4 linked regions of the Arabidopsis thaliana genome follow. The protein of the gene in region 1 binds, or shares a complex with, the protein of each later gene. Each region holds a gene or a part of one and is shown in the gene's direction. Other genes may lie near its edges. The genes, in order: WIP3, WIT1, RANGAP2 and RANGAP1.

Region 1 (4,497 bases):
TATTCATCGATACCTTTGGTGGTGATGGTGCACTTTTATAATCTCCGTAGATTATATTCATCGGTACCTTTGGTGGTAAAGGTGCATCGTGACCTTTACCTGAATCATCAGGTCCACTTTTATAACCTCCGTAGATTATATTCATCGGTACCTTTGATGGTAAAGGTGCATCGTGACCTTTACCTGAATCATCAGGTCCACTTTTATAACCTCCGTAGTTTATATTCATCAGTATCTTTGGTGGTAAAGGTGTATCGTGACCTTTACCTGAATCATCAGGTCCACTTTTATAACCTCCGTAATTTATATTCATCGGTATCTTTGGTGGTAAAGGTGCATCGTGACCTTTACCTGAATCATCAGGTCCACTTTTATAACTTCCGTAGATTATATTCACAGGAACCTTCATCGTTTTTATGAGCGGGTTAGTTTCTCCCATGACTGGTGGATTCAAACTTCTTGCATGGGCATAAGGTCCACGACACACAAAACAAGTGATAAGGGATATGAAAACTATTTTGGGAATCAAACAAGACATGGTGGGAGGCATCAACATTATTCGAGGTTTTTTTTAGGACTAGGAAATGGGGATGTGAAAATTGAAATTGGTAGAAAAAAAGAAGAAGAAGAAGTTGTCTTTTTTTTTGTTGATAGAAAATGATTGTTACAACTTACAATATATTAAAAATGTGAGTATTTGTATGTATATATAATAGATTATTGATTCACTCAAAACATATAATGTATTGTTATAATGTTTAATAATGATATGAATTATGTTAAAAAATAAATATTGTCTCAAACACAATATATCTAATCATAATTACTGTCTTAAACTATAGATGATATACAATAGTTACTTATGACAAAGTTTATCATTTTCAATTTTATTAGTACAAAATCAAATATTTTCATAGATATCAGTAAAAATACTATTTTGACAATTAACAATATTAAAATAAAATAAATTTTGTGGATATTGTAGATTCTAAAGTAAAATAACTATAATAAATTTTAAAATAAATGGTAATCACATTTTGTTACATGTTACTAAAATACTTAATTTATATTTAATGAATCAGTTTATCTGTCCATATTTTAAAATTTCACTAAAATTTTCAGAAATGTTTTGGAATTAGATTTCAGATTGTAAATAGTTTTCACTAACTTTTAATTATATAAATATATTAAATATTTACCCATTTCCTCAACAGAATGGAGATTTTACATTTATAAAACAATTCCATACTTCAAGAATTAGCATTTATTTATTTATTTTTTAAATCTGTTTTATACAAAAAATAGATAAAAAAATCATTTTAAGGAGTTGATTTTTTTAATGATTTGTAAATGTTCAAATCTGCATAAAACATTATTTTGATTTTTGAATATGATACCAAATAAATCTTTTAAATTTTAAAATAGAAAAATCACACTTTTCATTATTTTGAAAATATTTAAGTCTAGTTTTAATGGGCCTTATCAGGCCAACATGTTGGGCTCATATACACACTTTAATTCCGACATGTTGTGTACTCCAGATCGGACGGCCAGCTTGGCGCACTGGGTTTATGTCATGTGGGTCCCACGTATGATTCGCACCATCTTCATTATTTTTTCTCTTTCTTTATCTTTAATGTTTTTTTTTTCCTGTGTCTGTAGAATCATTTCGTCCACTTTAATCATTTTCGTTGATACAGCTTCTCCCGGTAATAATGTCGGCGGATTTCTCCGTCGCACTCTAAATTCTTTAGGATTTTGTTTCTCTTGCTCATCTGTAACTCAGGCAAGCTCTCGTTGGATTGTTTTAGGTACGCTTTAAATATTGATTCGAGTCGCTTCTCTCTGTTTTCATTAATTTTGTTTTTTCAAAAAATTTCTGGACTTGATTAGATGAGATTGTTGAATTGTGAATTGAGTTTTGTTCATTGTTGTTTCGGTAGATGAGGTTAGAATAACACTATACATCAGTTCTTTCTTTTGAAGTAGTGAGCTGAATCTAGTTCTTTAGCTGTTGGAAATTTTCAGATTTGTGTCTCTGATGACAGAGAATTTGATACCTTTTTTTTTGTTGTGAAATGGATTTAGGCATGAATGAGTCAGTCCCTGATTCTGTGGAAGACAACGGTAATTCAGTCCCTGCAAATGGATTATTAGTATTGCCTGATAATGATCATGAGGAAGGAGGTGTTGGATCACCTCAACGATCGAACAGCGTTGAATCTCCTGGTGGATCAGTACATTCTACGAGGAAAGGTTTTGGTTTGAAGAAATGGAGACGGATCAAAAGAGATGGTCCTGTGAGAGATGAGGCTGCTCCTGTTGATGATGGTAGTAAGTTACTGAAACGTGGATTGGCTGGTTTGGTGAATCCTCCTTCTAAACATGTAGAATTTTCTTCAGTTGAAGCAAGGCAGAGTAGTGAAGGCTCTGTTGGGTCAGTGAATATGGTGCATCATCCAGGGGTAGCCAACGGGTTTAGTCCCGATATAGGTTGTATGTTTGCTGTTGGGCAAGCGTTTGAGAAAAGTGAAGAGCATAGTGGTAATACCATAGGTGGAAAGAATGTAGTAGGAGGGAAGGTTGTTTCAGGTAGCCAAGAGAAACTCTGGAGTGATACCATCAAGAGGGCTAGCGAAGAGCGGGGGGATATCGAGAAGGAGAAGCCTTGTTCCAGCTTGGATTCCGACTTGAGAAGTAGTGATTTTGTGTTTTCGACTGGCTCGGTTTCTGTTGGTAACCATGGAGAGAAAGATGAGAGATTGACGATGAATTATATTGGGGGATTTAGCAATGAAGGTCAAGTTAAGGAGGAAGTTCAAACATATAGCAGAAGCGAAAACGGGAATAAAGAAGACGATGGAGAGAGTAAGAAAAACAACAATCATTGGGCAGATAAAGACGCACTTGCAGATTCTATCAGAAGCTTTGCAGTTCTGCAGGAAGTTCTTTGGAAAGGTTTGCACACGAACCTTGATTTTTGATATCCATGTGAATTGTTTCAATGTTCATGTCCTAAAGCTCCCATGTTTATATTATCAATGTTACATGATATTTCTAAACTAACTATGCGATTGAAACGTGTGCAGAGGTTCAAAGTTTCCAGGAGCTAGGTAAGGAATCTGTACTACTACATTCGAACACCGATGAATTGAGTTCAGACCAGCCAAGTCATCAAAATTGTAAAGAAGATAACTCAACATCCTCAGGATCAAAGGCACTGATCTTGAAGGAGAAGGTAAAACTTCTGGAACACAAACTCGAGGAAGCGAGAGCTGCTCTCGAGGCAAAGGAAGCTAGGATCCAAGAACTCGAAAACTCAAAGATTGAATCTGAACTTGAATGCATCTTCCAGAGAAAGATTGAAACTGAAATCGAACATTTGATGCTCACAAGATCTCTGAGTTCACTACAAGTACTCCAAGAAACTAAGAAGTTACATTCTCTGAAAGAAGATCCTGTATCAAACCGTGGAAACATCTTAGGAAAAACATGTAAGCTCGGTTTCTATATCTTGACACAATTGATCTTGCTCGTCTCTATACTTCGGTTTCTCGTCCTACAATTCTCTCCTGCTTCACGATTAGTAATACCAACTTGAAAAATTCCTTCTCCTTGTTGTGTTACCGAACATTTTTTTTGTTTCTCCAGATTGTAATAAATAAGGTCTCTCAAGGATATTGTCCCCATTGTTATAGTTAAATTACGATGTTTAAATTTCCCATCAACAACTAAAGAGACATTATTATTTTGTGAACTAGATTTTTGATATCGAATCCGATCACCGGTTATAATGGTTTGCCGACGGTTTTTGTGATTTGACTCAAGAGTGTAATAAAACCTTAACTTAAATCTTGGTTTTTGATTCAATCTAGATTCGGTTAATCAACCGGTCCGGTCTGGTTTTTAAAACAATAGGCCATTGTTGTAGGGAGTAGTTTAATCGGGGCAGAGGCTTATGCTATGGGCTTGGACTCTCAGGTTTCGTCTTAAACCTAATCAAAGTAATTTAAGCCGAAAACGGAAGGAACTAAAATTGGTGTCTTGACTAAAAATAATATAAAGGACATAAAATTAAAGTCCCCAGATAAAAGTTTGTATGATTTAGGGCAAAATCTCAGAAGATAAAATCATTCAAATTTGTGTGAATTTCGTTTAATCCTTATCCAATTTGTCCCAATTTATAATCTTATAAGAAAAATAAAAATCTGAAATACGGTGGTCTCAATTGCTCTTACCTTTACCAAGACGGCCATAAGAAAAAAAAGATGTCGACCGATATTTCACCACCCTACTCTCAAACTCACGTGGAGCCCGTTAATGGTTATCCTTCTGACAACAAGAGATGCGACGATTCCTCTGTTCCTGCCAAATATGATGATCTTGTCCGTAACTCTGCTCTCTTCTGGGAAAAGCTCCGAGCTTTCCTCGGATTAACCAGCAAGACTTTGAAGTCAGTTTCTTTCTTACCCTTTTCACATTTTTGTGAGACCTTTT
Region 2 (5,863 bases), on another chromosome or scaffold:
AATTAATGTTGACTAAATATTTTGAAGCTCCAAATTTGGTGTTTAACAATTTGGTGTGGATTTTGACAGGCTATGACGAAAAGAATTGGAAAGGGAATGTATGAATGGGCAGCCAAAGTCGATGAGTATGCTCGCGGTATGGTTGGACCAACAGGATCAACTCTCTTTGAAGAACTTGGTTTGTACTACATTGGTCCTGTTGATGGACACAACATTGAAGATCTAGTTTGTGTTCTCCGAGAAGTATCTTCTCTAGATTCAATGGGTCCTGTGTTGGTCCACGTGATCACAGAGGGAAACCGAGATGCAGAAACCGTAAAGAACATCATGGTCAAAGGTATATCTGTCTGGTTATGTTATTTTTTCTGAGAATATATGCTTATCCAAAATCTTGACTTTGTAGTTTTTTTTTTTGTCTCAGACAGACGCACTTACAGTGATTGCTTTGTTGAGGCTTTGGTGATGGAGGCAGAAAAGGATAGAGATATTGTTGTAGTTCATGCAGGAATGGAGATGGATCCGTCACTTCTTACATTTCAGGAGAGATTTCCAGACAGATTTTTCAATGTCGGAATGGCTGAACAGCATGCTGTCACATTCTCTGCTGGTCTTTCTTCTGGAGGTCTCAAGCCATTTTGTATTATTCCCTCTGCTTTTTTACAAAGAGCTTATGACCAGGTTTCACTTTCCTCTAGCACAAAATAAAATTGTTCTAAAAGGTTTTTATTACAAGCAAATGGCCTTAGTGTCTTTGATGGTTTCTTTAGGTGGTCCATGATGTAGATCGGCAGAGAAAGGCGGTGCGATTTGTTATTACAAGCGCAGGGCTTGTTGGATCCGATGGTCCAGTGCAGTGTGGAGCTTTTGACATAGCTTTCATGTCATCCTTACCAAACATGATAGCCATGGCTCCAGCCGATGAGGATGAGCTTGTAAATATGGTTGCAACTGCTGCTTATGTCACTGACCGCCCAGTATGTTTCCGGTTCCCTAGAGGCTCCATCGTCAACATGAATTATCTTGTCCCCACTGGATTACCAATTGAAGTAAGTTCCAATCTAATCTTCAAATCTTTTGGTTGCAAAAACAGACCGTGGTGACACAAGAACTGCTTTATCATATTAGAGTAGATCGGAAGAGGAAGAGTTCTCGTAGAAGGTCAAGATGTGGCTTTACTTGGTTATGGAGCGATGGTTCAGAATTGTCTTCATGCTCACTCGCTTCTCTCGAAACTCGGTTTGAACGTGACTGTAGCTGATGCAAGATTTTGCAAACCCCTAGACATCAAGCTTGTGCGTGATCTTTGTCAGAACCACAAATTCCTTATCACTGTCGAAGAAGGCTGTGTTGGAGGGTTTGGTTCTCATGTGGCGCAGTTCATAGCCCTCGATGGCCAGCTCGATGGGAATATCAAGGTAGAGAGACAAATCAAAACCTCATGTTCTCACCTGTTTTTGGTTTTAAGTTGTAATTTTGCTCTTAACATTGTGTAGTGGAGACCCATTGTGTTACCGGATGGCTACATAGAAGAAGCATCGCCTAGGGAGCAGCTTGCTCTTGCAGGGCTAACTGGACATCACATAGCAGCAACCGCTTTGAGTCTTTTGGGCCGAACTCGTGAAGCATTGCTTCTCATGAGCTAGCTTAACCTTCTCATATGGGATTTACCTTCACAAGAGACTTAAAGAGGAGTTTCTTAAACAGAATTTGTAGATAATACATTCTGAATTCAAGAGCCCATTTGATATCCTGATTTTGGAATAGCAATCTGCTATGTATTGTAAATGTAGAGTTGAGAATTGACTAAAATAAATTCAATTACTTTTTAGGCGGTATCTCAGTTTTCATATTCTCAGTTAGTTGTTGTTGTTGTTGTTGTTGTTGTTGTTGTTGTTGTTGTTGTTGTCAAGTCTATTTGGTGTAACAGTCGCATGTCCCAAATCTGGAAACAAACAAAATATAGAACAGAGACGTGTATTTTCGATACTCGAGTTTTTTTTTAATAAAAGCATCTTAAAAAATTAGTAAAGAGTTACTGTCAAACAATATTCGTTTAATTACAAATCCGAGTCCTTCTTCTTCTTCTTCTTCTCGATCTCTGTATCTCTCGATCATTTCCTTCTAAAGGAAGCGTCTTTGATCTTAATCGTCGTGTCGTTCGTTTCTAACTGTAAGTTTTCTCCTTTTCATTCATTTTGCTTCAATCTCGATCGGAATCAAGTAAAAAATCGGAACTTTTACCTAGATTTCCTCAGGAATCGAAAAGTTCTTGTGATTTAGCAGAACCTCTATTGTTTCCGATCTCTTAATTCAATTACTTGACAAAAGTGATTATACTTTCTCTGTTGCAGTTATATTGAAAGATGGAAACAGAAACGGAACATGATAGAACTGTCTCTGTCGATGACAACGACAGCCTTGTACCTGAGCCAAGCTCAACGAAAGAAAGCTTTTTTGAAGATCTCTCGCTTACTGGGCAAGTTATGAATCCTCAACTTTCAAGTGCAGGCGAAGTTTTGACAAAAGTTGAATTGGATTTTGCTTTTGTCTCTGAGAAATTGGTCAATCTTAGTCTTCTTACTATGCAACTCGGCACGAGGGAAAATGATTTTGAGTCTTTTGTTTCTAAGAAAGAAGAAGATGAAGAAGAGCCTTCGAGTAATGTTGATGATGATGATGATTCTGCTGAGAAGGCATTGGAGTTTGATCTCTTGTCTTCAATTCTCAATTCAGAGGTGAAAGAACTTGAATCGCTTCTTGGTTTTCTCCAGAACGAGATTCAAAGCGCCCGTGTCATGATATCTCCGTTTCAACATGATGGAGAAGCTTTCTTGGATTTGGAAGGGAAGTTGAATGATACTGAACAATCTTTGGGTCAGTTAATGGAACAAGTAGTGGAAATGAAGAAGCAATCTTCTAACTTTCAGAGGTTATCTTCTGGTTTGGATGAACAAGGAAGCTGTAAGTGACCAATCTAGCTTTCTTTTTAACCTTGTTGTGATGATCACTTGGTGAGAAAAATTTCAGGCTTTAATGAATACTATATAACTTTGTTTTTGCAGGGTCTGGAGGGCAAACTTCAGTGTCTCAAAACGATGGTGAGTTTGGTGATCTGAGCGCTAAGATCAATATGCAGACTGCTGATCAGCAAAGGAATGTTTTAAGGATGCTTGAGAAATCTTTGGCTAAGGAGATGGAACTTGAGAAGAAACTAAGTGAATCAAGAAATACTGAACGAGAACTAGAGATGAAACTGTATTCTTCTGAGCAGGATGTTGTCTACATGGAAGAAGTAACCGAAGATGCGTTCTCCAGGTGGCTTGAGGCAGATAATGCTGCTGAAGTCTTTAAGGGAACGTCAAAGGAGATGTCTGGAAAACTCCAGATTCTTCAGTTCAATCTAAGTGGCTCTTTTAAGCGGGAAGACAACTTGAAGTCTAAGCTTGTTGATTCAAAGGAACGTTTAGAAGCTAAGGAATGCGCCTTGCACAAGCTTGATAGCAGCAATGCAAGACTTGCTGACTTTCTTGTGGCACAAACAGAAGGCTTAAAAGAGAGTTTGCAAGAGGCTGAAGAAAAATTGATTTTGTTGAACACTGAGAATTCCACATTAAGTGAGAAAGTTAGCTCCCTTGAAGAACAACTGAATGAATATGGGATTCAAACAGAAGATGCGGATGCTACTTCTGGTGCTCTGATAACAGATCTTGAACGTATCAACGAGGAACTGAAAGATAAATTAGCCAAAACTGAAGCAAGGGCTGAGGAAACAGAATCCAAGTGCAAAATCCTAGAAGAAAGCAAAAAGGAGCTTCAAGACGAGTTGGGGAATTTCAGAGACAAGGGCTTCACTATACATAAGTTAGCATCGCTTGAGAAACACTTGAGGGACTCAGATCTACAACTAGAACATGCAGTTGCAGCTGTTGAAGCAAGTAAAGAAAAGCAGAACTTGTTATATTCTACTGTTTCTGATATGGAGGATGTGATCGAGGATCTAAAATCAAAAGTTTTGAAGGCTGAAAACAGGGCCGACATTACCGAAGAGAAGTTGATCATGGTATCTGAGTCTAACGCAGAGGTCAACGAAGAACTGAAATTCTTTAAGGGTAGATTGAAAGAAGGGGAGAAATATTTACAGCAAGCAGAAGAAAGAAAATTGCGAACCGCCAAAGATATCGGGGTACATAACAAGATCATGAAAAAACTGGTCATGCAACTAGCTGCTGAACGAGAACGACTTCATAAACAGGTATTACCATATTCGTAAAACCCCAGTTCGCTGTTAGTTCATGTCCTTGTAGCTTCATCATCATCACAGTGGATTCTTAGATATAGTGACTTATTTGCAGATAACTAACCTGTCAAGAGAGAATTGTGTGTTGATGGTGAAGTTGAAAAAGGTTGGAAAAACTGGTTATATGGAAAGTGGCAATGGAAGTGAAGTTTCACCAAAGTCGGACCAGAATGCTTCTTCTTGCCATCAAGGAAGTAGACTTCAAGCCACCTTCATTTCATTAACTAATCCAGAGGTAACATAATTCTACCTTACAAAAAATCTGATCTTTTGCTGGCATCTAAGTGAGTTATACCATTAAGCTTTAGTCCAACAATCGAATATTATGAATCTAAGCTTGACGTTAGTAACCGTGGTCACCTTTTTGTAGGAGGAAGAAACAGGTTCAAAATCAGATATTGGAAGTGTAAGGAGATTAGATGTTGGAGCTCTTAGGTTCAAACACATTCTCGTTGCAATACTCGTGATCTTAATATCGTCGATAGCTTATGTTATATCCCAGCAAAACATGTAAGAGTCTTTAACTTTTTCCAAAATCTCAGTCTCCAGTTTTGTACTCTCTTTGTCATAGTTTACAATGACAGATTATATTTTAGTTCTTTTTGGCTACCCAGTTACAGAAAATCTGCTATATAATTAACCCCGACACTGGTATTTTGTGTTATTACAATATCTTTTTCAGTGTCAAGTATTAGTACCTCTCTACACATTAGTCCTTAATCTCTGCAATATGATTAAGACCATCCAATACTTGTTGCATCAATGGCCGTTTCTTTGTATTATGCGCTGTGCATCGGTTGATGAGTGTGCCCATCTGTGTCGCCGCATTCGCAGAATAATCGCTCCCAAGTCGGGGATCGATTATTTCCTCAATCTTATAATTATCTGGCAAGAAAGATGAGGTCCAGTAATCTACTAAGCCTTGCTCTTCCTTAATCTTTTTTCTATCCTTGGAACCCATTAAAAGTTCAAGCAAGATCATACCAAAAATGTAAACATCGGTCGTCATATCCAAAATACCTAACACATACATTACACAATTGTCTTAACGTTGAACAACGAAAGATTTTTCAGAATTTGTAAAACGAAAGTTAATGCTTTCGTGTACCTAACGATCCCCATTCAGGAGATAGGTATGTAAATCTTCCCCTCTTGAGACCTTCATCTACCAAGCTTCGTTTGGTTGGTTCGAGATAGAACAGTTTTTGCATTGTATTGCTGATGAAATCCAAACTTAGATATTAATTTCTAAGATCATAAACAAAAAGAGAGAAGAAGGATGGAAATAAAACAATTACCACCTCGTCAAGCATAATGTTATGCATCCTGAGTTCTCGGTTTAGGGGGCTGTTCTTGATCGAGTGAAGAAACGCGAGACCTTGAGCTGTTCCAATGGCTATCTTAACCCGTATTTCCCATGGCAATGCCTCTTCTTCTTCTGTTGAGGGAAACGTAAAACTATAGGTAATGCAATAGTTGTCTATATCTTAGAATGGACCCATTAGCTAGAAAAGATCTTAACTTCCGAAAATGTGACTGTCCAAACTTCCTTTGTGCGAGTATTCA
Region 3 (4,925 bases), on another chromosome or scaffold:
ATGCATGCGTTATGTTTAATGCGTTAACCGTCCAGTTTAGATGTTCTTTGTCCAAAAAGTTAATATTGAGTTGTCTTTTGACAGGGTTGGAGTTGCTACTCGGTCTTCTTGGTTCTTTAAACACTAAGCAGCAACTTGACGGTGCAGCAGCGTTGTACAAATTAGCAAATAAATCTATGGCACTTTCTCCAGTTGATGCTGCTCCTCCTTCTCCAACACAAAGGGTGAGTTTCCTTTCTGCTTCAGTTCTCCTATAGGTAACGGGTGGAAGTCTCAATGCAGTATTCTGTATGTCTTTTTGTGACAGGTTTATCTCGGAGAGCAATATGTAAATAATGCTACGCTGTCTGATGTAACCTTTCTAGTCGAAGGTAATCATATATAAATCCAGAAGTTGTGGAACTCTAGTTAGCTTCAAAGTCCATATGTAAAACAGAAAAATCATACTGCAGGAAGGACATTCTATGCACACAGAATTTGTCTGCTGGCATCCTCAGATGCATTTCGTGCAATGTTTGATGGTGGTTACAGAGTAAGTGAACTAAATATTTTGGTTTTTCGATAATGTTCTTGTGGGGTAAATGATATTTTGATGACAATGACGTATGGATGTATGCTGGTCTGCTATTTATCAAAGGAATACAATTATCTTTTGGGGAAATTAGACCTGAATTGTGTCACGGTTTGTGTTTCGTTTATATCACAGGAAAAAGACGCTAGAGATATTGAGATTCCAAATATCAAATGGGAGGTGTTTGAGTTAATGATGAGGTATGATGAATGAACCTCTGCATGCTTTTGATTGACTCACTCGAGATATTGAAATTTCGAAAAGTCTGTGAGAACTTTTCATATACACGTAATTGACTCCCTTGGATTATGATTTTCAGGTTTATATACACTGGATCTGTCGACATAACAAATGAGATATCAAAAGATCTTCTAAGAGCAGCGGATCAGTATCTCTTGGAGGGCCTGAAACGACTCTGTGAATACACAATTGCTCAGGTGAGCCAGAATTATATCACAATGTAAAGTGATGATGTGGTTTGCGTAGTACTTAACGAAATCTGACACGGTTACTTTGAATATGAAAGGATATTACGTTGGAAAGTATAGGAGACATGTACGAGCTATCAGAAGCATTCCATGCGATGTCGCTGAGGCAAGCTTGTATCATGTTCATCCTGGAGCATTTCGATAAACTGAGTTCAATGCCTTGGTAATATAAACAAGATGTCACTCTCTCTCTCCACTAAGATTTGTTTTATTGCTATTAGTCTGAAACAAAAGTGAATGGAAAATGCAGGCAGAACGAGCTGGTGCAGAGAACAATACCAGAGATAAGAGAGTACTTTTGTAGAGCCCTAACAAAGTCTACTACAAACCTGCAAAGCTTGAGGTTGTAGAATGCGGAAGAAGAAGACTGCACTTAACTAGAGGTAAGTAGACAAGGAATTATATAGAGAGAAAGAGAGAGAGAGATCAAGAGCCGCCATTAGAGGTCTTTATCGTCCTGTACTGGGTTGTCTTAGTTATTTGCTGTGCTTTTTGGTTCGTTTTGGTCATTTTGTATTGTATTAATTAATCTCCTCTGATCACAATCGGTCTTGAATGAAATCGCTACCCTTTGTATCCAAAAATACCATTGTGGTATAACTTCCACTATTCAATTCAAAATCCACTCTCCAACTATCCTCTCTGTTGAGAAAAGATACTTTGGGTAGGTTGTGACTAAGCGTAGCTGTAACGATTTGATATTGGTAGTGGTGACCAGTGAGTTCATGTCTGAATAATTAAGAGATGATTCAACACAGAACATAATATCCCATTTTTGTTTTACAAATAAAGAATCAATCGAAAGTATTACTGATGATTAGAGACTGTAACTTGTAAGTATTTTGTAGCACAAGCCACTGAAAATTACATTACACATAAAGGAGTTTTCTTTAACATGAAAGATTCAAAATTACCAGGTTGGTTCTAATTAATTACGTTTTCTTCCAAAGTGATTAATTACTCAAGTCACGATGAATTATTAACCTTTCTCTTTTTTTTTTTTTTTAAATTAGTCTATAGAGACTTTTGGTTCAACGAACGTAGGAGGGAGTTTTAAAGAGCTCCGGTGAAGGAGAAACCCTAAAAACACACTCGATTTTGCAGCCAGAGAGAGTCTCAGAGCTCCGAGATTCAGACAATCTTCATCGGTCCGGTACGCTTTTCATTTCCGTTTATTCTCATCGCAAACGGATAATTATTTGTCTGATCCGATTTTACCCTGTGATTAAGCACCGATGTTCCTTCCTCGTAGTTGGTGATTTAATGCTTCTTCTCGAAACTATCCACTTATAGGATCTCCGATCTTTACGAGATTACTCTCCTTAATCTCTGTTATTGATTTAGTCACAGCATTTTCTGATTTATCAATTAGTTATTCCTTTGGGCTCAATGTTAATCCTCCTAAGTGATTAGTGATTACGATAGAGCCTCCTCTGATTATTTCTAACTTTTGTGTGTATGTTTTTGCAGTGATATTAAAACTCTGGATTTGCGATAATGGCTGATATACTTGATTCTCGACCTCATGCATTTTCGATTAAACTCTGGCCACCGAGTTTACCTACAAGAAAAGCTCTCATTGAGCGTATAACCAACAATTTTTCTTCCAAGACTATTTTCACTGAGAAGTACGGTAGCTTAACCAAAGACCAGGCTACGGAGAACGCTAAGAGGATCGAAGATATTGCTTTTTCCACTGCTAACCAACAGTTTGAGAGGGAGCCTGATGGTGATGGTGGTTCAGCTGTACAGCTTTATGCCAAAGAATGCAGTAAGCTTATCTTAGAAGTTCTCAAGAAAGGACCTGTTGCTAAAGTTGCGGCAAGAGAATTGATTTCTGAGGATTCTGTGTCTCCCCGCGAAACTTTTTTCGATATTTCTAAAGGTAAACGGGCTTTCATTGAGGCTGAGGAAGCTGAGGAGCTTCTCAAACCTTTGAAGGAACCTGGCAATGCCTACACTAAGATATGCTTTAGTAATAGGAGTTTTGGCTTGGGAGCTGCTCGTGTCGCTGAGCCTATCTTGGCGTCTTTGAAAGATCAGCTTAAGGAAGTTGACTTGTCTGACTTTGTTGCTGGACGACCTGAGCTTGAAGCTCTTGAGGTTATGAATATATTTTCTGACGCACTGCAAGGTAGTATTCTCTCGTCTCTCAACTTATCAGATAATGCATTGGGTGAGAAGGGTGTTAGAGCGTTTGGGGCACTCTTAAAATCTCTGAGCTCTTTGGAAGAGCTGTATTTGATGAATGATGGTATCTCTAAGGAAGCTGCGCAAGCGGTCTCCGAGTTGATTCCTTCAACAGAGAATTTGAGGGTCCTTCATTTTCATAATAACATGACGGGAGATGAAGGGGCACTCGCTATTGCAGAGGTTGTCAAGCGTTCCCCACTGCTGGAGAATTTCCGTTGTTCTTCCACAAGAGTCGGCTCAAAAGGGGGAATCGCCTTGTCAGAAGCACTTGAGCATTGTACTCATATGGAGAAACTTGATCTGCGGGATAATATGTTTGGCACAGAAGCCGGAGTTTCTTTGAGCAAAACTCTTTCAAGCTTCAAACACATGACTGAGCTTTACTTGAGTTATCTAAATCTAGAGGATGAAGGTGCCATAGCCATAGTAAACGCTCTAAAGGAGTCTGCTTCGCCCATTGAAGTTCTAGAGATGGCAGGAAATGACATAACAGTTGAAGCTGCTTCAGCTATCGCAGCCTGTGTTGCAGCAAAACAAGATCTGAACAAGTTGAATTTGTCTGAGAATGAGCTGAAAGATGAGGGATGTGTCCAGATTGCAAATTGTATAGAAGAGGGTCACTCAAAACTGCAATACATCGATATGAGCACCAACTACATAAGAAGAGCCGGAGCACGAGCCTTGGCTCATGTTGTTGTGAAGAAAGAAGCTTTCAAGCTGTTGAACATTGACGGGAACATCATATCAGAAGAAGGCATTGAAGAATTGAAAGAGATATTCAAGAAATCCCCAGAGTTACTTGGAGCTTTGGATGAGAATGATCCTGATGGAGAAGAAGATGATGATGATGAGGAAGACGAAGAAGATGAAGAGAACGAAGGTAATGGGAATGGTGAGCTGGAATCGAAGCTGAAGAACCTTGAAGTTAATCAGGAAGATTAAGTCTGTGATGTTGGTACTTTTCAATGTTTTTGTTTGTTTTGTACCAGTATTATTACTCTAGCTGCTGCTACAAAGACCAAAACATATTTGAGACATTGGTGTTAGTTTTATTTTTGCCGATAGCTTATTGGTCCTTTTTGTTTAAACACGATTGTATCGCTATTCTGAGGTCATACCTATGAGCAAAACAATTTTATATTCTATTTGGTTTGGTACCGTTTTGGTTTAGATACGATTTTAAACAAATTTTGTTAACTTGAAAAGTTTAAACTAACGTGAAAGAAGTTTTCAGGAGTGACCATTTCACATACTAAAGATATAATCAACAGTGAAGACAAGATTTTGAGTTTAATACTAGTTAGAATAAGCAATCGAGGATTGCAAACGCAAGCATAAAAACATATTTTTTTTAACAGTAACAATGGCATTTTTTTGCTCCACCAGCAAAACGTTTGCAAAAACCGCCTTTCTTATTATCACATCCATCAAGACACCATTTGTTGCATCTCTTTCTGTCTTGGTATGTGTTGCAAGCTCCAAATTTCGCATGTGTGTTACAGCACAACGAACTTCCGGATCCTTCAACGACATCTATAACATGCAAACAACAATTTTTCATCTTTAAGATTCACGTAAAGATCAAACAAAAACTTTTTATATAATACATCTTTGTATCCCCAAAAATATCAAAATTTATGGTGAGAGACTAACCAATAGAGAACAAAAGAACA
Region 4 (5,116 bases), about 19 Mb from region 1:
AATGTGCGAGAAAGGTGAAACGAGCCATGCTAAACGTTGAAGGTGATTGATTATGCATATATTTACTACCGTTTCTGATATATATAATTAGCAATGGTGGATTTATGATTAGGAGTGCATTCCATCAAGGTTAATGCAAACGAAGGGACGATAGAAGTGAACACTGATATTAACCGGCAAAAGAGCCGAGCTTTTGTGGGAACCTGAACCAGAGTCTCCTGATGACATTTCTATGGCAACTCCGCTCGCCATGCCATCAACTTGCCGACGTCAGGTCCATGTCAGCACCTTTGACCAGACCGTACACCTACAGGACTTGCTTGACAAAAACGCTAGTGGGATCAAACACATGAAAGATTACCGACAAGAGGGTCATCAGTATAACGTTTAAGGAGTCACATGATGATCCCAGGGGCTACCACTCACGGGACTCACTATCTCCAATCGCACCACCGTCCTCTGACCCTAAGAATAGCAATGGCGGTGGTGGTTCAGGTGCTTGTGGTAATGTTGAGGCTCCTGCTACTGCTGCTTAACCACCGCCCAAGATTAACGATACTCCTTGTAATGGCAAAGCAGCAGAGCCTCCTGTCGCTAATGTGAAATGCAGCAGCAGATGGAATAGTTGCGGTTTGATGTAAAGTAGAGATCTATTTAGTAGTTTAACCAGTATCAAGGAAACTATATTATAGCAACTTCTTAAAGAATGAGTTGGTAGAAATTTTCAGATTTTCTACTACACACAATTGTCACAAACAATCAATCATGCAAAAGAATCATCACTACTAAAACACAAAATAATCCTATCTTACCCTTGCCGATCAGCGTGCTGTGGTTTGAGAGCAGAGTGAGTCGGGTGTCCTCTTCTGCCAAGTCTCTTTGTTGGCTCGGCATGCTTCTTTTATGGGCCACTCGATCTGGAAGCCGTCTCTGTTCTGCTTTTCTAACTGACAACAGTGTGTGTGAAACGTCTGAGGATCTACCTGAAGCTTGAAGTCAAGGGTAAACAACAACTCCATCTCCAATCTGTTTAACTCTCTCGTAGTCACACCTCCCACTCTTGCGTAGTATGCATTGTTGAAATACCTGCACAACACCAGAGATCAATGAATCTATGATTGAAGACTTATTTGCGTGTTGAATTTGATACCAGGTTTAGTGAGTAACATACCTATCATCGAAGACTTTAGCAGCTAACATGACAGTTGTAATGATAAGGCGGTGGACATTAAGGGGTTTGAGAAGGGCTCGGGTCTTATGGAGAAAGTGATCAATGTAGATATGCGCAATGACGAAGCAGGAGGGACTGCAGCAAGAGTACTTGAAAATGCGATCCAAGTAGTGTGCAATACTGATCTCAGGGGGAGATCTCCCGTCAAACACGGTAACAGAGTCTGGCGATCCAAGCAGAATCTTGTCATCATGATTGAGTAACAGAGATCTCTCCAGAGAAGAAGAGAGGCGTGAGAGAACAGTCGGTGGCTTTTTCAATCGTTTGCCCTCAATAATAAGTCCTAACCTGAGGTATACATCCGAATCAATGAAAGCTGGATCGGTTGCGAGAGAGTCCATTTCTCCAACGAATCTGCAATGAAGATGATGATGTGCATAAAAATGGTAACTTTGAATAGGGTTTTGAAATAGAAGACGTATGTAGAGTAAATTTCAAGCAGGTGAACTAATTCCTAATCAAGAACCTAAACCCTCTCTATATGTCTCCCTACCTACCAAGTACCAAGAATCTTGAGAGTCAAGAATTAGGAATAAAGTGGAAGAAGCTTACGAGAATAAAGTGGAAGAAGTTGGTTCGTGAACTAGAGAAGGTCCGGAGAATGGAAGAAAGCAGATCTATCTCCGGCGCTTCTCCATTGTTTTTTTTTTGCTGCTCTGAAGCTTAGAAGCTAAAAGAAGCCGCGAAGAATTGTGAAGAAGAAGGAAAGTTTCCATTATTGCCTTTTATTTTATTTTATTTAATAATTTAAGGGTTTTTGATTTTAAAATGAATAATAATAATAAATACAAAAAAGAAAGGACAGAAGGAAGGAGTGATGTGTGGTAGAGAGAGACAGTTCACCGTCGGCGAGTCCAGCTGGCGGTGGTGGGAGCCCACCGTGTCACCTTAATCATCGCTGCGCTGCCCTGTCTTTTTTCCATTATTAATTTTTAGCAAGAAGAAGACTGGGCTTTCTAAATTAGTTATTAATGGGCTTTGGGCTTTCGTGGTTAGGGTTGTGTAGGGGCTTAATCGTCATTTCGGAGATAGAATAAACCCTAATCTCCATGGATGGGCTCTCCGATGTTTGTCTTTTTGATTTTTGAAATTTGATTTTCAAAAATAAACTAAAGCATCATTGCCTCCCATTATCGTCACGCACGCAGATCAATGATTCTCTCACTCTGCTTCTCATTCACGCTTCTTCTTTGAATTCACTTTTCTATTCCTTTCTTTTTCTCCGTCCGAGAGAGTATAGAGAGACCCATTTCTTCGATCCATCCGCTGAGAAAAAAAAGGTACCGTCGTATTGTTCTCTCATGTTTCTGGGTTTCTTTTTGTTTCGAAATATATTCTTCTCGTTTGCAGTGTGATTTTGAGGGTTTCCTTGTCTAAAAAATGCAGTTTTTAATTAATGGATTTACAATAGAAATGTAGTTAGATTCTTCGACACCATCTTCGTTTTCGATTGGATCTACATGTTATGCTCTCTCTTTTTCCTTGGAATACTATGTCAGATTGAGTAATGGTTGTCCTTGTATTGAATTACAGAAGAAAACCAAGCAGTAGTAGAATGGATCATTCAGCGAAAACCACACAGAACCGTGTTTTGTCAGTGAAGATGTGGCCACCGAGTAAGAGTACCCGTCTCATGCTTGTTGAGCGGATGACCAAGAACATTACCACCCCTTCCATCTTCTCCAGGAAGTACGGTCTTTTGTCTGTTGAAGAGGCTGAGCAAGACGCCAAGCGCATTGAAGATTTGGCCTTTGCTACTGCCAACAAACACTTCCAGAACGAGCCTGATGGTGATGGCACTTCTGCTGTTCACGTCTATGCTAAAGAATCCAGCAAGCTCATGCTTGATGTCATCAAACGTGGTCCACAGGAAGAATCCGAGGTTGAGGTGAGCAAGGATGGTGATGTCTTTTTTGATATATCTGGTGGGAGCAGAGCTTTTATTGAAGAAGAGGAGGCACGCGACCTTTTGAGGCCTCTGGCTGACCCGCGTAACTCCTATACCAAAATCCGTTTTAGCAACAGGAGTTTTGGGTCTGAAGCAGCCAAATTTGCTGCGAGCGTTTTGTCTTCCATCAAGGATCAGCTGACGGAAGTGGATCTCTCGGATTTTGTTGCAGGAAGACCAGAGGCTGAAGCGCTTGAAGTCATGAATATGTTTTCATCTGCTTTAGAGGGTTCTAAGCTTAGGTATCTGAATCTCTCGGACAATGCTTTGGGAGAAAAGGGAATTAGGGCATTTGCTTCTCTCATCAATTCTCAGCATGACTTGGAGGAGCTCTATCTGATGAATGATGGCATTTCCGAGGATGCTGCACGTGCAGTTCGTGAGCTTCTCCCTTCTACTGACAAAATCAGGGTTCTTCAGTTTCATAACAACATGACAGGAGATGAAGGAGCAACTGCCATTGCAGAGATTGTCAGGGAGTGTCCATCTTTGGAAGATTTCCGGTGTTCATCTACAAGGATTGGTTCAGAAGGTGGTGTTGCACTAGCTGAAGCACTTGAACACTGTAGCCACTTGAAGAAACTTGATCTTCGTGACAACATGTTTGGAGTCGAAGGTGGAATTGCCCTGGCCAAGACTTTATCAGTCTTGACTCATTTAACCGAGATCTATATGAGTTACCTGAACTTGGAGGATGAGGGAACAGAGGCACTTTCTGAAGCTCTACTTAAGTCCGCCCCTTCTCTTGAAGTTCTAGAATTGGCTGGTAACGACATTACTGTAAAATCCACTGGAAATTTGGCAGCTTGCATCGCCTCCAAACAGTCTCTTGCAAAGCTGAATTTATCTGAGAATGAACTCAAAGACGAAGGGACTATCTTAATTGCAAAGGCAGTTGAAGGTCATGATCAGTTAGTTGAAGTTGACCTGAGCACCAACATGATCAGAAGAGCTGGGGCAAGGGCCTTGGCACAAACTGTTGTGAAGAAAAATACTTTCAAGCTTCTGAACATCAATGGAAACTTCATATCTGAGGAAGGTATTGACGAGGTAAATGACATGTTTAAGGACTGTCTGGACAAGCTTGTTCCTTTGGACGACAATGACCCTGAAGGAGAAGATTTTGAAGATGAAGACGAAGAGGAGGAAGGCGAAGATGGCAATGAATTGGAATCAAAGCTTGGAAGTCTGAAAATCAAGCAAGGGGAGGAATGATGTGATGCTTTTGTTGCTATGTAGGTAGGTTCAGTGTTATCTCTCTTTCTGGATTCGGTAAACATAGTTAAGTAGGTATCTAAGGATCTAAGATTGTCTTCAGATTTATTTCCTTGAAGCGAAATTGTTATCTTCGTGTAAACCAGAATTGTTGTTGGTCTTTTGGTTATGAATATTTAAATGATCTTTTAGCTGAAATCATGTTCATCTCATATGAGCCGTGGGAAATGAAAGAGCACAGTGTAGCATAAGAAGTTACAAATGAAGAACAAACTTTATGGCGTATTTGATCAAGCGGCCACTGGAGTTTTGAGGGCTTCGAGTATCTTATCGTCTAACTCAAACTTAATCTCTTTCTTGTCTCTGCCAATCTTCACATACTCTTCGAATCTCTCCTTGAGATCTTCAGGCAGATTCGTTTTACTCTCCCACCCTAATAAGTCCTTAGCGGCTCTTGGCTCTGCGTAGAAATGCTGCGACCATACAAAGACAAGTTTGTAAAGCTACTAATGAATGAAGTAGGAGAAGAGCTTCTACAGGGTTTCGTTTACCATGTTTCTGAATAGAAAAGCCTTCTTGGCGTCAACCCCAATGGCTTTAGGGTCATAATGAACGATCTCAACAGTTTTGCCAGCAGCGGCAGCACAGAGCTTGGCCATACCGTCAAGAGTAACGGCTCTGTCGCTAACGCAGTTGAAGATGTTGCCGGAAGCAGCCTCTGG

What was found.
Region 2: WIP3 (region 1) and WIT1 share a complex: the UniProt entries of both Arabidopsis thaliana proteins name them as parts of the ran complex.
Region 3: WIP3 (region 1) and RANGAP2 share a complex: the UniProt entries of both Arabidopsis thaliana proteins name them as parts of the ran complex.
Region 4: WIP3 (region 1) and RANGAP1 share a complex: the UniProt entries of both Arabidopsis thaliana proteins name them as parts of the ran complex.

The regions. Positions count from the first base shown.
Region 1 is NC_003074.8:4,337,576-4,342,072, reverse strand, and holds WIP3 (WPP domain interacting protein 3), read left to right. Parts: upstream 1-1,626; 5' UTR 1,627-1,636; coding exon 1,637-1,811; intron 1,812-2,088; coding exon 2,089-2,958; intron 2,959-3,089; coding exon 3,090-3,601; 3' UTR 3,602-3,787; downstream 3,788-4,497. Other genes in the region: AT3G13370 (formin-like protein), read right to left, coding at 1-409; AT3G13350 (HMG (high mobility group) box protein with ARID/BRIGHT DNA-binding domain-containing protein), read left to right, coding at 4,269-4,453. UniProt on the Arabidopsis thaliana protein: Mediates and enhances the nuclear envelope docking of RANGAP proteins mediated by WIT1 and WIT2 in the undifferentiated cells of root tips.
Region 2 is NC_003076.8:3,631,608-3,637,470, forward strand, and holds WIT1 (WPP domain-interacting protein 1), read left to right. Parts: upstream 1-2,041; 5' UTR 2,042-2,170; intron 2,171-2,351; 5' UTR 2,352-2,363; coding exon 2,364-2,961; intron 2,962-3,062; coding exon 3,063-4,252; intron 4,253-4,352; coding exon 4,353-4,532; intron 4,533-4,667; coding exon 4,668-4,811; 3' UTR 4,812-5,006; coding exon of another isoform or gene 5,007-5,317; 3' UTR 5,318-5,327; downstream 5,328-5,863. Other genes in the region: DXPS3 (1-deoxy-D-xylulose 5-phosphate synthase 3), read left to right, coding at 70-337, 422-678, 768-1,046, 1,131-1,415, 1,494-1,643; AT5G11400 (Protein kinase superfamily protein), read right to left, coding at 5,007-5,317, 5,406-5,515, 5,669-5,735, 5,820-5,863. UniProt on the Arabidopsis thaliana protein: Together with WIT2, required for the nuclear envelope docking of RANGAP proteins in root tips.
Region 3 is NC_003076.8:6,504,579-6,509,503, reverse strand, and holds RANGAP2 (RAN GTPase activating protein 2), read left to right. Parts: upstream 1-1,858; 5' UTR 1,859-1,976; intron 1,977-2,065; exon of another isoform or gene 2,066-2,072; 5' UTR 2,073-2,212; intron 2,213-2,529; 5' UTR 2,530-2,556; coding exon 2,557-4,194; 3' UTR 4,195-4,412; downstream 4,413-4,925. Other genes in the region: ARIA (ARM repeat protein interacting with ABF2), read left to right, coding at 85-224, 308-371, 453-532, 707-771, 891-1,008, 1,098-1,222, 1,310-1,409; AT5G19315 (Defensin-like (DEFL) family protein), read right to left, coding at 4,604-4,785, 4,906-4,925. UniProt on the Arabidopsis thaliana protein: GTPase activator for the nuclear Ras-related regulatory protein Ran, converting it to the putatively inactive GDP-bound state.
Region 4 is NC_003074.8:23,322,322-23,327,437, forward strand, and holds RANGAP1 (RAN GTPase activating protein 1), read left to right. Parts: upstream 1-2,157; 5' UTR 2,158-2,511; intron 2,512-2,764; 5' UTR 2,765-2,786; coding exon 2,787-4,394; 3' UTR 4,395-4,592; downstream 4,593-5,116. Other genes in the region: CYCP1;1 (cyclin p1;1), read right to left, coding at 822-1,086, 1,172-1,572; CSP41A (chloroplast stem-loop binding protein of 41 kDa), read right to left, coding at 4,685-4,867, 4,946-5,116. UniProt on the Arabidopsis thaliana protein: GTPase activator for the nuclear Ras-related regulatory protein Ran, converting it to the putatively inactive GDP-bound state. Plays a role in spatial signaling during cell division.